2 linked regions of the Drosophila melanogaster genome follow. The protein of the gene in region 1 interacts with the protein of each later gene in a biochemical or structural test. Each region holds a gene or a part of one and is shown on either strand. Other genes may lie near its edges.

What was found.
Region 2: of the proteins of Dis3l2 (region 1) and Tailor, one has a biochemical effect on the other in vitro, tested with the Drosophila melanogaster proteins (one study listed by BioGRID).

What each region holds. Positions count from the first base shown.
Region 1 is NT_037436.4:211,037-217,218, reverse strand, and holds Dis3l2 (Dis3 like 3'-5' exoribonuclease 2), read right to left. Parts: upstream 4,511-6,182; 5' UTR 4,470-4,510; coding exon 4,435-4,469; exon of another isoform or gene 4,376-4,434; coding exon 3,243-4,375; intron 3,188-3,242; coding exon 1,768-3,187; intron 1,715-1,767; coding exon 1,595-1,714; intron 1,537-1,594; coding exon 1,110-1,536; 3' UTR 740-1,109; downstream 1-739. Other genes in the region: thoc7, read left to right, coding at 4,532-4,601, 4,660-4,774, 4,840-5,521; Prp4k (Pre-mRNA processing factor 4 kinase), read left to right, coding at 5,911-5,927, 6,000-6,182.
Region 2 is NT_033777.3:7,082,725-7,087,999, reverse strand, and holds Tailor (tailor), read left to right. Parts: upstream 1-1,916; 5' UTR 1,917-2,019; coding exon 2,020-2,118; exon of another isoform or gene 2,119-2,340; intron 2,341-2,436; exon of another isoform or gene 2,437-2,487; coding exon 2,488-2,586; intron 2,587-2,642; coding exon 2,643-3,075; intron 3,076-3,232; coding exon 3,233-3,466; intron 3,467-3,518; coding exon 3,519-3,625; intron 3,626-3,681; coding exon 3,682-3,817; intron 3,818-3,875; coding exon 3,876-4,052; intron 4,053-4,108; coding exon 4,109-4,310; intron 4,311-4,413; coding exon 4,414-4,618; 3' UTR 4,619-4,775; downstream 4,776-5,275. Other genes in the region: alphaTub84B (alpha-Tubulin at 84B), read right to left, coding at 1-766, 1,256-1,258; Dpck (Dephospho-CoA kinase), read right to left, coding at 4,857-5,163, 5,235-5,275. UniProt on the Drosophila melanogaster protein: Uridylyltransferase which mediates terminal uridylation of miRNAs, leading to their degradation. Has high specificity for splicing-derived miRNAs (mirtrons) and other miRNA substrates containing a 3'-G terminal nucleotide.

The sequences.
Region 1 (6,182 bases):
TGTGAACAATGTTTTAAAAAAAATATGCACATGCATATTTATCCATGCACATACATACATACATGTCTTTATGTTAACATTTAGTGCGAATTGTACCTGAGGTACTTACATGTTCAGGAGAATACATATGTGCAGCTCCAAATTTAACTTACTAAAAGTAAGGCAAGTGCTTTCTTTACGGCTTGTATATATACATATATTCCAAATCAGGATAACTAGCGTACTCGTCCGGGCCGGTTTAGATTAGACATGGATGTAGTTTTACAACGATACAAGTGGATGTAGTTTTAGAACGATCCGATCTGGAGACTTGTGCAGATATTGTGTGTGTACTTACTTAACCCGCACTTGATTGCGCAGTTCAATTTGCTTTTATTGTCGTAGCTCACCATATCACTACTCCAGACGGGATTGTACTCAGGGGTGGTTAGGCAGGATTGCGTGCATTGGAGCCTAGACTGTAGTTTTCTTATATTATCGGATGAGGGTGGCTTTGAATAAGTCCAACTAACAGCAGGAAAATGCCTTAAAAAAATCGTCAGCTGCAATCGGTGATTATACGACCTGGACAGCCTAACAAATATTCCGAATCTAGACATTTCAGACGATACTTCTGCGTCAATGCAAATTTAATTTAAAAAACCTCATGCTTTAAACTTTCGCCGTTAACATTATCGCCAATGACCCCAATTGACCTTTATTTTCGATTAACATTTGTCAGCATGATCCAAATCATTTTCGGTTAACTTGATTGTTTTATTGATAAGCAGTTAAGCCTTGATTTTACATAGCACATATGTACATACATTTTTACAAGCTTATTATGATATGCAAACCGAAAAAGGAAGCATCACAGAGTCAATTTTTGTCAAGCATAAAGCTCGGACCCACAATGTGGTTCAAAAAAGTGAGTTTGGACTAACAAGTATTTTTCGATTTTTTTGATTTTTCATTTAACGACACTGAAACAGAAGGAATCTCTTAAACAAAATTGATGTTCCCTCTGTGTGTAGTTATAAACTTTTTTGGCTTATTGAAAAAATACGGTGCAGTTGCTTTGGGTTGTTCCTATGCGAAGAATTACATCTGCTCGTCTGCTCCTTTTTTTCCTAAATTTGTTCTTCCATCTTTAAAAATCCAGTTAGTTTTTGGTCCCAAATGATCAGACATATGGGGACCACGGAAAGCAGCTGCAACTTCCTAGGTGACTGCTTTAAGTTGCGCTCGGCAATAAGAATGTAATTGGGTACGCCGTGTGTGTCTACGAGGACCTTTTGCATTTTGTAGTTAATGCTTATAACGTGGCCCGACTCCAGAGTAACTACGTTCATCATATGCTGAAATATTTCAATGACCACAGCTCGCATGTATATGCCCTGCTTGTTGTGAACATATCGTTTGAAGTACAAGTTACCAGAGTCCTCTCCGGCCTTTTTCGCATTGTACTTGCGCTCATTCGCTAATTTCGTTAAGGTGTGCAAATCATCTGGGGTACGTTTAGGCGGTGTACAATATTTAAGTGCGGCCGCCAAAAGTCTAGAGTGGAGGAAATTTTAAGTACGGGAGGCGAACTTCCAAGGTAAGTGACAGTTACCGGTGCACCAAAATATCAGGATACCGACGGATTGGGCTAGTAAAGTGAGTGTATATGGGTATGGACAAGGCGTAGTGCCACAGGTCAGCCGGTTCCGATTTACCCTCGCTACAAAAATATCTAAAGGGGGGAAATTGTGGGAAGAGTAATTATTTGAAAACTGAGACACTCACGTTGCACGGGCCATTGGTTTCATCAAAAGCTGACTTAGGCAGGCATTCATTGCGACAGGATTGGGCGCCTCATTGCACAACCGCACCATGCTCTCCTGGAGCGCCTTAGACGAGCTATAGTCCAATTCGAATCCCAGAGCAAGCAGCTTTTCCCTTAAAGCCTTAAGGGACTTAATAAGTGGCGGAGGGTGGTTACGCAGTACAGCGATATCCGGAAAGGAGTCGTGTATAAAGCGGGCGACTGCCTGGTTGGCCAGGAGCATAAACTCTTCAATCAGCCGGTTAGCCTCTCGCTGTTTCTCCACTTCAAAAGACAACGGCTCGCCAGTAATTGGATCGAGCAGGAAGCGTAGCTTGGCATTGTTAATTGTGAGTGCGCCATTGTCTAAACGTGTCTTACGGATGGAGCTTGCAATGTCGTGCAGCCATAGCACCCTATTTCTGATATCATCGGGATTAAATCCATTCAGGATGGTCGGAAAGTCGTTCTCGGTAAACCGTTCATTAGGGTTGTCGATGATCTTTTGAGCGTGTTCATAAGCAAATTGCGAGCAAGAGTTAATGACTGTGCGGCAAAATTCTGGCTTCTTTTGCAGCATGACTCCCTTCCCGTTCATCCGCCAGAAGACGGAAAAAGCAAACTTGTCTTGCCCAGGGAGCAGGGAACATCGCATGCATAGAGACTGAGGCAGCATGTGGATTACCTCGTTGGCTAAATAAATAGACGTAGAGCGTTCCTTCACTATGTTATCCAGTTCATTGTCCTCTATCAGGAAGTGCGAAACATCGGATATATGGACGCCAATCTCATATTCGTTGTCGCCTAGCTTCTCTATAGAAACGGCGTCATCCAAATCGCGAGCAGTCATCGGATCTATAGTAAATATGCACATCTTTCTTAAGTCTTTTCGTTGACGCAGATCCTCTTGGCTTATCGGAGGTGGCGGCTGGGAGTAAATGTCGATAAATCGTTGCTCAAATGGCTTTATATCCCGGAGACCGTTATGAAACAGAATTGCCTTAAGTTCGTCATCCAAATTACCCACGCGGCCAACCGGCTGGATTAGTTCAGCGATGCAGTGCCCATTGCAATCTGTCTCGAGTATATGGGCAAGGTATAAGAGGCCGGACACGTCTATTTGCTGCTTGTTTCCGATGTGGGCGGCACAGGCATCCTTCGGAACGTAGACCATGGGGACACGCAAATCGTACGGTCGGAATTTGTAGAATAGCTGGTCGTCACAGAGTTTGGTTGGGTTCGTAAACGATATGGTTCCCACGATCTGGCGGAGCTCAGTTCGTTTAGTTATTGCTATGACGAACGCTTTAGGGCAGTTGTCCGACGATATCACGACCACGTTGTCGGTATCGGACTCAGAGCCCTGGGACTCGGTATCGTCCGAAAGCTCCTCACCATCCGCTTTATAGGATATTATCATCAGTCGAAAGTATTATAAGTTTGCCGATAAACTTACCAAGAGATAATGAGGGCTTCCCACCAGAGATTTCACCAGACGAGGGCTCAGCTGTCTTTGAACTACCCTGAGCACCAGGGTTTAGCACGAATGCACGTACTTTGTCACCATCGAAGGCATAGCGCCTAGCCACTGGCAAGAGCACGATGCCATCTCGTTCGAGTGCTTCTCGATCAGTGGACATGATTATAAAGGCCTGTCTGTTGTTCTTGCGGTTAACCCGGATTTCCTCTTCTACAATGCGCCCATAACCCGCCGCAACTAGTCTCTGCGCATGCGCTTCCAGGTCGGAGAAGTTACCTTTGAAAATCAAGTCTTCCGACAACTGGTGATCCATACCCACGTGACGTTGGACAATCTTGTTTATGTACGACCGCATGGCCTCTAGTTCGGTTTTTTGCGATTGGGTCCCATTGCTACCGGATCCATCGTTTTTCTTGCTATTGCGTTGCCTTCGTCCTAGTTTCGGTTGCTGCTGTACATGACTTCCATTGTTTGTAGCAGAGACCTCAGAATCGTGGCGATGCCGCCCCTGGTAACCAACCTGTTGCGGATGTGCTTCTGACCTGGTCTGACTCCACTCGAGCTGAGAAAGGATCTCGTTTTTACGTATCAGCTGGCAGGCATACGCGTTAACATCTGGGGAGAGGTGTGAAAGATGTTTGACCATATCCTGAAGAGCTTCCACCTCATTTCGAAGAGCCCGCTTCGACTTCTTTTTCGCTATTAACCGATGGCTGGGACTAGACACGACGTGCAAATGCGAAAGTGGCTGAAGGCAGGGAATCTGCATGGTCGCCTGGTAGGAGGCGAATGCTACGTGGTAGGGCAATTGCATAGCTACCGGCGCTGGCGTGGATACTGGCACACCGTAAGGAATGGCCTGCCTGCTGTTGCTCCGAGCAGATGGTTGGGATTGGTTGGGATGTGGCCGTGGTTCCGCCCAGCGCATTAGTGGCTGCAGCGGAATAACGGCATTGTTGGCCGATAGGTCTTTGCTGGATGCATTAGACTCCATTTCCCTCTGCATCTGCTGGAGGCGGGCAGCAAGGCGTTGTGAGCGCTGTCGGAGGCCCTCAATCCTTCTGCAATCTCGGTCCGCATCCACGTTGACGCTTGACGTTTCCGACATTCTGCAAGAAGTGCACTTAGTTAATGGGATTCGCTGATGTCCGAAAGTGTACGGCACTACACTTGGCTATGGGCGGGATATAAAGGGTAAGGCATAATTCAATACTTTCTCCAAATTAAAATGATAGGACAAGTACAGTAGGACCGTACTGCGTGGTATGTCGGAGCAGTGTCAGCTTCGGCCACACTCCGATACGCTAGTTCGGAAATTAGTGGAGATGAATGACGGTAAGTTGTTTTTGTTTATTTTCGCATTTGGGAATAGATATTTAAACTGATCTTCCAGAAGAAATCATAAAGCAGCGCCTGCTGATTGACGGGGATGGAACTGGAGAGGATCGGAGAATAGTAGTGTTGCTGAAACAGTTCTTGAAGTGGGCCAGTGACTCGCTGGACAGCAAGTAAGAAATTGGATATGTGTGTATTCAAAACATGGTGTACATATCTCCTCTTTTCCGAATTACAGTCCCATCATGTACGACCGACTGATGGCCCAATTCGCCCAGTGCAAGCTCACTGCGTTAAAGAATGTACAAACTCTGCAGATGATCGCCGGTGAGCGTGACAACTACACACAACTAGTTGAACACCACGAAGAAAGTATTGTTTTGGCTAAAGCGGAAATCGAATCCAGTAAAAAAGAGCTAATCACTGCCAAGCAGATTCGCAAGAACAAGATGGAGTACGACCTGCTGGCCTCGCTCATCCAGGACCAACCGGACCGCAGTGAAACACAGCGACATATTGAGACCATTAGGAGGGAGATTGACGACTTGGTGCAAAAGAAGCTAAAGATGGAGCGCAAGTTTCAGAAACGACGCAATGACTTCACTTTGCTGATGTACACGATTCACGAGCTGGAACAGCAGCTGGACCAGGACAGCTCATCCTCGGCATCCTCCTCGTCCAGCGATTGCGATGCCCGCTCTGAGCCGGACCTAGACGACAATGGGATCATGGAGGTAAGCGATGAAGACGACGATCTCAACAATAGCACTCCCACAAAGTTCGACGGAGCCCGCGGCGAGCCCAAATATCACTCAGTCTCTACTGAGGACTCTAAAGCCATGTCCGTAGAAGAGGACACGGTGCTTGAGCTAAGCATCGACAAAGATGAGCACGACGTGGATGTAGCTGTTGCCAATTAGGTTAGAAGCGCTAGCATGTACAATAAAAACAAAAAAATAAAATGTCATGAACTATAATATACAAATTCAACTGTTGTTTCGAAATTCCTTCGTTTTTATTTCCAATTTAGACTTGCGCCAAAGACGATATTTAAGGGTTATAAAATTTAATTTTAATATATTTTTATTTTACTTGCATATATACTAGAAATAATTCCGAAATCCCAGGAGGTATTTTTAAAACGTATTTACTTTTGTCCGGCGTGCAGTCACACTAAAAAAGCTACGAAGAGGAAGAATACAATAAGAGGAAAATTACAAGTTTCATTAGCCATCTGCAGAATTACCGCACACCTTATGAACGCACAGTGTGCGCGCATCTGCAGTTTACATTGTTAAACAATCAAATAATGGCTGACGACAAAAGGTAGGTTAATTTTACTAAGCCGACCGCACGTGTGTGTATTGACCTGGGCTGCTCCCCTCTTGTACCGAATAGCTACGACTCCAGCAACAACAGCGAGACCGAAGAGCGTCGGGCCAAGCACAAAAAGGCTAAAAAGCACAAAAAACATAAAAAATCCTCGACTGGCAAGACCGAGAAGGACAGGCATGTCCACAAGAAGCAGAAGAAGGCAAAAAAGCGCCCCCACCGAACAAGCGAATCCACAAACGAATCGGA
Region 2 (5,275 bases), on another chromosome or scaffold:
TCTGGAACTCAGTCAGATCCACGTTAAGGGCACCATCGAATCGCAGAGAGGCGGTAATCGAGGACACGATCTGGCCAATCAGACGGTTCAGGTTGGTGTACGTGGGGCGCTCAATGTCCAGATTGCGGCGGCAGATGTCGTAGATAGCCTCGTTGTCGACCATGAAGGCGCAGTCGGAATGCTCCAGGGTGGTGTGGGTGGTCAGGATGGAGTTGTAGGGCTCGACCACGGCAGTGGACACCTGGGGGGCTGGGTAGATGGCGAACTCCAGCTTGGACTTCTTGCCGTAGTCCACGGAGAGACGCTCCATCAGCAGCGAGGTGAAGCCGGAGCCGGTACCTCCACCGAACGAGTGGAAGATGAGGAAGCCCTGCAGACCGGTGCACTGATCGGCCAGCTTGCGGATCCTGTCCAGAACCAGATCGACGATCTCCTTGCCGATGGTGTAGTGGCCACGGGCGTAGTTGTTGGCCGCATCCTCCTTACCAGTGATCAGCTGCTCGGGGTGGAACAGCTGACGGTAGGTTCCGGTACGGACCTCATCGACCACAGTGGGTTCCAGATCCACAAACACGGCGCGGGGCACGTGCTTGCCAGCTCCAGTCTCGCTGAAGAAGGTGTTGAACGAGTCATCACCTCCGCCCACGGTCTTGTCAGACGGCATCTGGCCATCGGGCTGGATGCCGTGCTCCAAGCAGTAGAGCTCCCAGCAGGCGTTTCCAATCTGGACACCAGCCTGACCAACATGGATAGAGATACATTCACGCTGTGGATGAGGAGGAAGGGAAAACGGATGATTAGTTACACACCCCAAGAAAATCGATAATTGCAGAGCCGCGCCCAACTTGAGCCGGCACTGCGTGCGAGTGAGAGAGGTAGCTAAATGGTATACTGATTTTTTTGCTCTACTTTGCCGACGCCGGAATTTTACTCTCTCGCCATTTTCTCTTTAATTCTATCCAAAATCTACAGTTATGCGTCGAAGTATCATGGTAACCGAATTTAGAATTTTTAAGATTAATGAAGCGTTCCAGCAGCATAGAAATAATGAATATTTTTTTTATCTAGATTTTAAGAGCCATTCCTCATTGCGAACAAAAAAAAAAAACAGGCATGACGTCATCACTTTTGAGGAAAAAACGCAGGCCGGCCGCCATTTTGAGAAAAAGCCGCATCGCGTTTTTGCCCATTGAATTTTGCCCACACAAATTTCTTTTCAGCATTATTTCACTAGATTTTTTTTTAAAGTACTCACCATATTGAGTTTTTATTGGAAGTGTTTCACACGCGACAAGGAAAATTCACAGAATTGTGTAGAGCTACGATTTCGAGGTCTGACTCAGAGAGCGTATACGTTCGAACTGCCGGCTATGAGGCTTGACAAACGTAAAACGAATATGAAATGTGGAAAGCGGGCTGCTTTATATAGGCACCGGAGCTAGAGACGGCAAGCTGTCGACTTAAACGCCGCATAACCGATAACTGAAGTGGGAGAGGTAATGGCACTTGGTCTCTCTAAAACTTGCTGCGGTATTTTGCAGGACTAGTTGGGACTCGAACCAGGGCGTGAATCTTTGCTTGCCCAACCGGTAGACCTAACCGGTTGCTAAAGTGGGCCAACATTAATAATATTTTTGTTGAATGTTTCATAAAAGCTATTTTAATATAAATTCGCATCGTTACCGATTCAATAAGGTTTAGTAAATCATTATATTTCTGACTCCATATTGATTTCCAACAGCAAATTAATTAACTCCATAACTTCCCCTCTCCCTTTGGAGCAAAGGATGTAGTTAATATCTTAACATCTAAACTTGTTTTGTTTTTTTATTCAAATAGGAGTTATATTAAATAGAAATGTAAAAAACAAAGCAGGTTTTAAGAAAATGATGTCAGGAGATTTTGAACTCCTACTCATGGTCACTCTAATCGCAGTCTGCAATTTACGTGTTTCCAACTTAACGCCCCCAAGTTAATAGCCGTAATCATTTGAAAAGAAAGGCACGCACGCACAACGCCATGCGGATCGAACCTGGGGACTCCTTTTGGACGAAAAAGGCGATGTTTTCCAACGCAGAAAGGCAGTACTTTGAGACGGTCCGTCCGCGGAAGACCAGTGTGAGTAAAAGTTGACCGTCGATGGCGATTTCACAAGTGACGTTTAAGTGGCGGGAACTTCTACTCACAAATCCCTGAGCCCTGTGATATGATTTATTTTATGGAGCCGTGATCCGGACGAAAAATGCACACACATTTCTACAAAAATATGTACATCGCGGTGCGATTGTGTCGCTTAAAGCACACGTACACCCACTGTCACACTCACACTCACATGCATACACCGCCGGCGAACTTTGGTGTAGTTGGCCACCCTACGAAATTCAACCGCTTCGATTCGAATTTTCGAATCAACAGTTATTGGCAGTCGAACAAAGGCGGCAAACTTTCGAGTTGCAGAAAAGTTAACGCATTCGATTAACCTTTCAGCTTCCGGGCTCCACCGCGCCCAACATAGCCGCTCCGGTAACAAAGGCCACGAAGAAGAATAAGACGATGGCCGAGATGATGCCAAACAAACTGCTTTACGTGAGTACGAGTTTGTATCATTCGAATTTTTAGACTAAAGCCCGCTGATCGTGCAGATGAATCCGCTTACCATGGAGGCACACTTCTTTCTGCAGACCCTAAACTCAGTGAACCAGACGACGAATCCGCCGCAGCTAGACCCGCACCTGGCCAACCTGCTGGAGCGCATTATGGTGGGCATCGAGAGCTACTTGGACAGGAATCCCACATACGTTTTGCCGCAGGAGATGGCCGCACCGGGTGAGGGCGTGGCCTTCGTCCAGCCCCAGGAGCTGCAGACAATAAAGCGAACATTCAGCTGTAGTTCCTGCAGCAACCGCATAGTGGGCACCACCATCGCAAAAGCTGTGGCCCACCTTTCGGAGCAGCATCCAAAACCCAATCCCAACAATCAGCCAGTCCAGCCGCATCCGACGCATCAGACGAAACAGGAGAAAAAGCAGGCCCAGGTGAAGGCTCGTCAGCATATAACAGTACGGCTACCCAAGAGTAGGTCACCATTTCATTTCATTTACTTACGCAGAAGTGCAGTCTAAAAATTGTGGTCTGACTACTTGTAAATGTTAGATTGATAAAGCCTCAATACTTTGATTAATATGTTTTCTTTAGAGCCAGCGATATTTTATAAATACTTTTTACATTGCAGAGGCCAGGGCAATGATTGTGGGAGAGATTACGAATGTGTTTAAGGACAAATACCCAATAGCGGACAAGTTAAAGGTGATTCCCGAGTACGACGTTATCGAACAGGACCTGTGCAAGCTTTTGTCGCCGGGCTTTCCCAAACAACCACTGCGAGTCTACAAGTTCGGGTCCCGCATCACAGGCATTGGAAATCGATCCTCGGACCTGGACCTCTTCGTCGACATCGGTAAGTCGGGTTAGTACTGCATTGAGCTCCTACCAATTTCACCTGGCTTCTGAATTGGCAGGCAACACATTTCACACGTTCGAGCATCGAGCTTCCAACGCTACCGTCGCCAAGCTGCGGGCTATGAGGAAGTTCTTCTGCGACAGCGAGGACTGGCGTCTTATTAATGTGAGCTGTGTCCCTAAGCAATACGTTCGTTTTTACCATTGCACTTTCTTCAACAGTTCATCGAACAGGCTCGCGTGCCCATCATCAAGACGTGCCACTTACCAACCGGTATCGAGTGCGACATTTGTCTGAACAGCATGGGCTTTTGCAATACAAATCTGCTCAAATACATATTTGAGTCACAGCCACTGAGTAAGCACATGCTGCCGGATAGAGTCCATGTTATCTTTTTGCATTCGCTCCCTTGCAGCTCAATATATGTGCATATATGTAAAGAACTGGCTGGAGCGCTGCAAGCTAACTGAACAAATATCGACGTACAGCATTACACTGATGGTGATTTACTTCCTGCAGCTCCAGGCCCTGCTGCCCCCCATTGCCATGCTGCAGATAGAGGATGCAGCCAATCAGGCCGTGCTCGTGGGTCGTAAGTACATCGTCGGTTTCTTGGGGGGATTCACCAAGTAAGTCGTCTCTTTACAGCGTGGGTTGTCAACTTTGCACAAAAATCGTTTAGCGAACTGGGACTGCAGCAATTAAAGGCGACCGTCCCCGTCATCAAGGGCTTCCTTCGAAACTTCTTTGCGTATTTCGCCAAATTTGACTACGAGCATTTCTTGGTCTGCCCATATATAGGTCAGGCTAATGTTGAAATCGCGAAGATTGAGAGGATGCTGCATGCTAGGTGAGAATATTAATTGCTTAACTTTAAGCCCTTTAAATATGTAATGCTATATAGAAATTACAAAAAAAAAAAAAAAAAAAAAAAAAACTTTCCCTGCTACTAGGTATTCAGCATATGTGTCGGACAACCCTGAATGCTCGATCCAGCTGAAAAAACCGATGGTGGTACAGGATCCCATACAACTAAACCACAATGTAACGAAAGCGGTGACCAAATATGGACTGCAGACGTTCGTTGACTACTGCCAGCAGACGGCGGAGCTGCTTGAGGAACCTTCCACCAATTGGCGTCAGCGCTATGCATTTTAAAGAAATCCCCCTCGATTATCTGTCCCTGCATCCAATCTCAAGGCACTTCCGTTTATGGTCTGTTAGGCTTCTACCTTGTGAGCGCGACACCAATGTAGGTTTGTTCAGACTGTTAATTAAAGGCGATTGTCACGTTTCGGCAATATATTTCACTAACAAGCTTTTAAATTGTATAATTGGTTTGGTATCATTTGCATTAACACATAAAGTGACCTCGTATGGCACGCACAGACACGGACTACATCTGCCAGGACTCGGGCAGCCGGTTGAACACCTTCAGCAGCATATATATTGTGAAGCCCACGATTAGGAACAGCCCCAGGAAGCTGATGCGGTTCAGCCAGTGCTGCTTGGAGTCGCGCATCAGGTTGTAAATGCTCATGGCCGAGCTCTCCGCCTCCTCCACGCTCCCGTTATTGTCAATGACGAAGTGAGACTTCTCGCACTTCTTGTCCAGCGGCATTTGTGAATCGACGCGATGCCGGGCTTCCGATTCCGAGAGCTCATTGCGGGCTATTAATCGCTCCAGCTGCTTGTCCGAGTCGCTGCAATATGGGGGGATGCAGTTAAAGCCAGCTACACTTTGACACCTAGCATTCAAGAGCTATTAACCTACCAGGTTACACAGACGATCTTGTGTATAAAGTCCATCAGCAC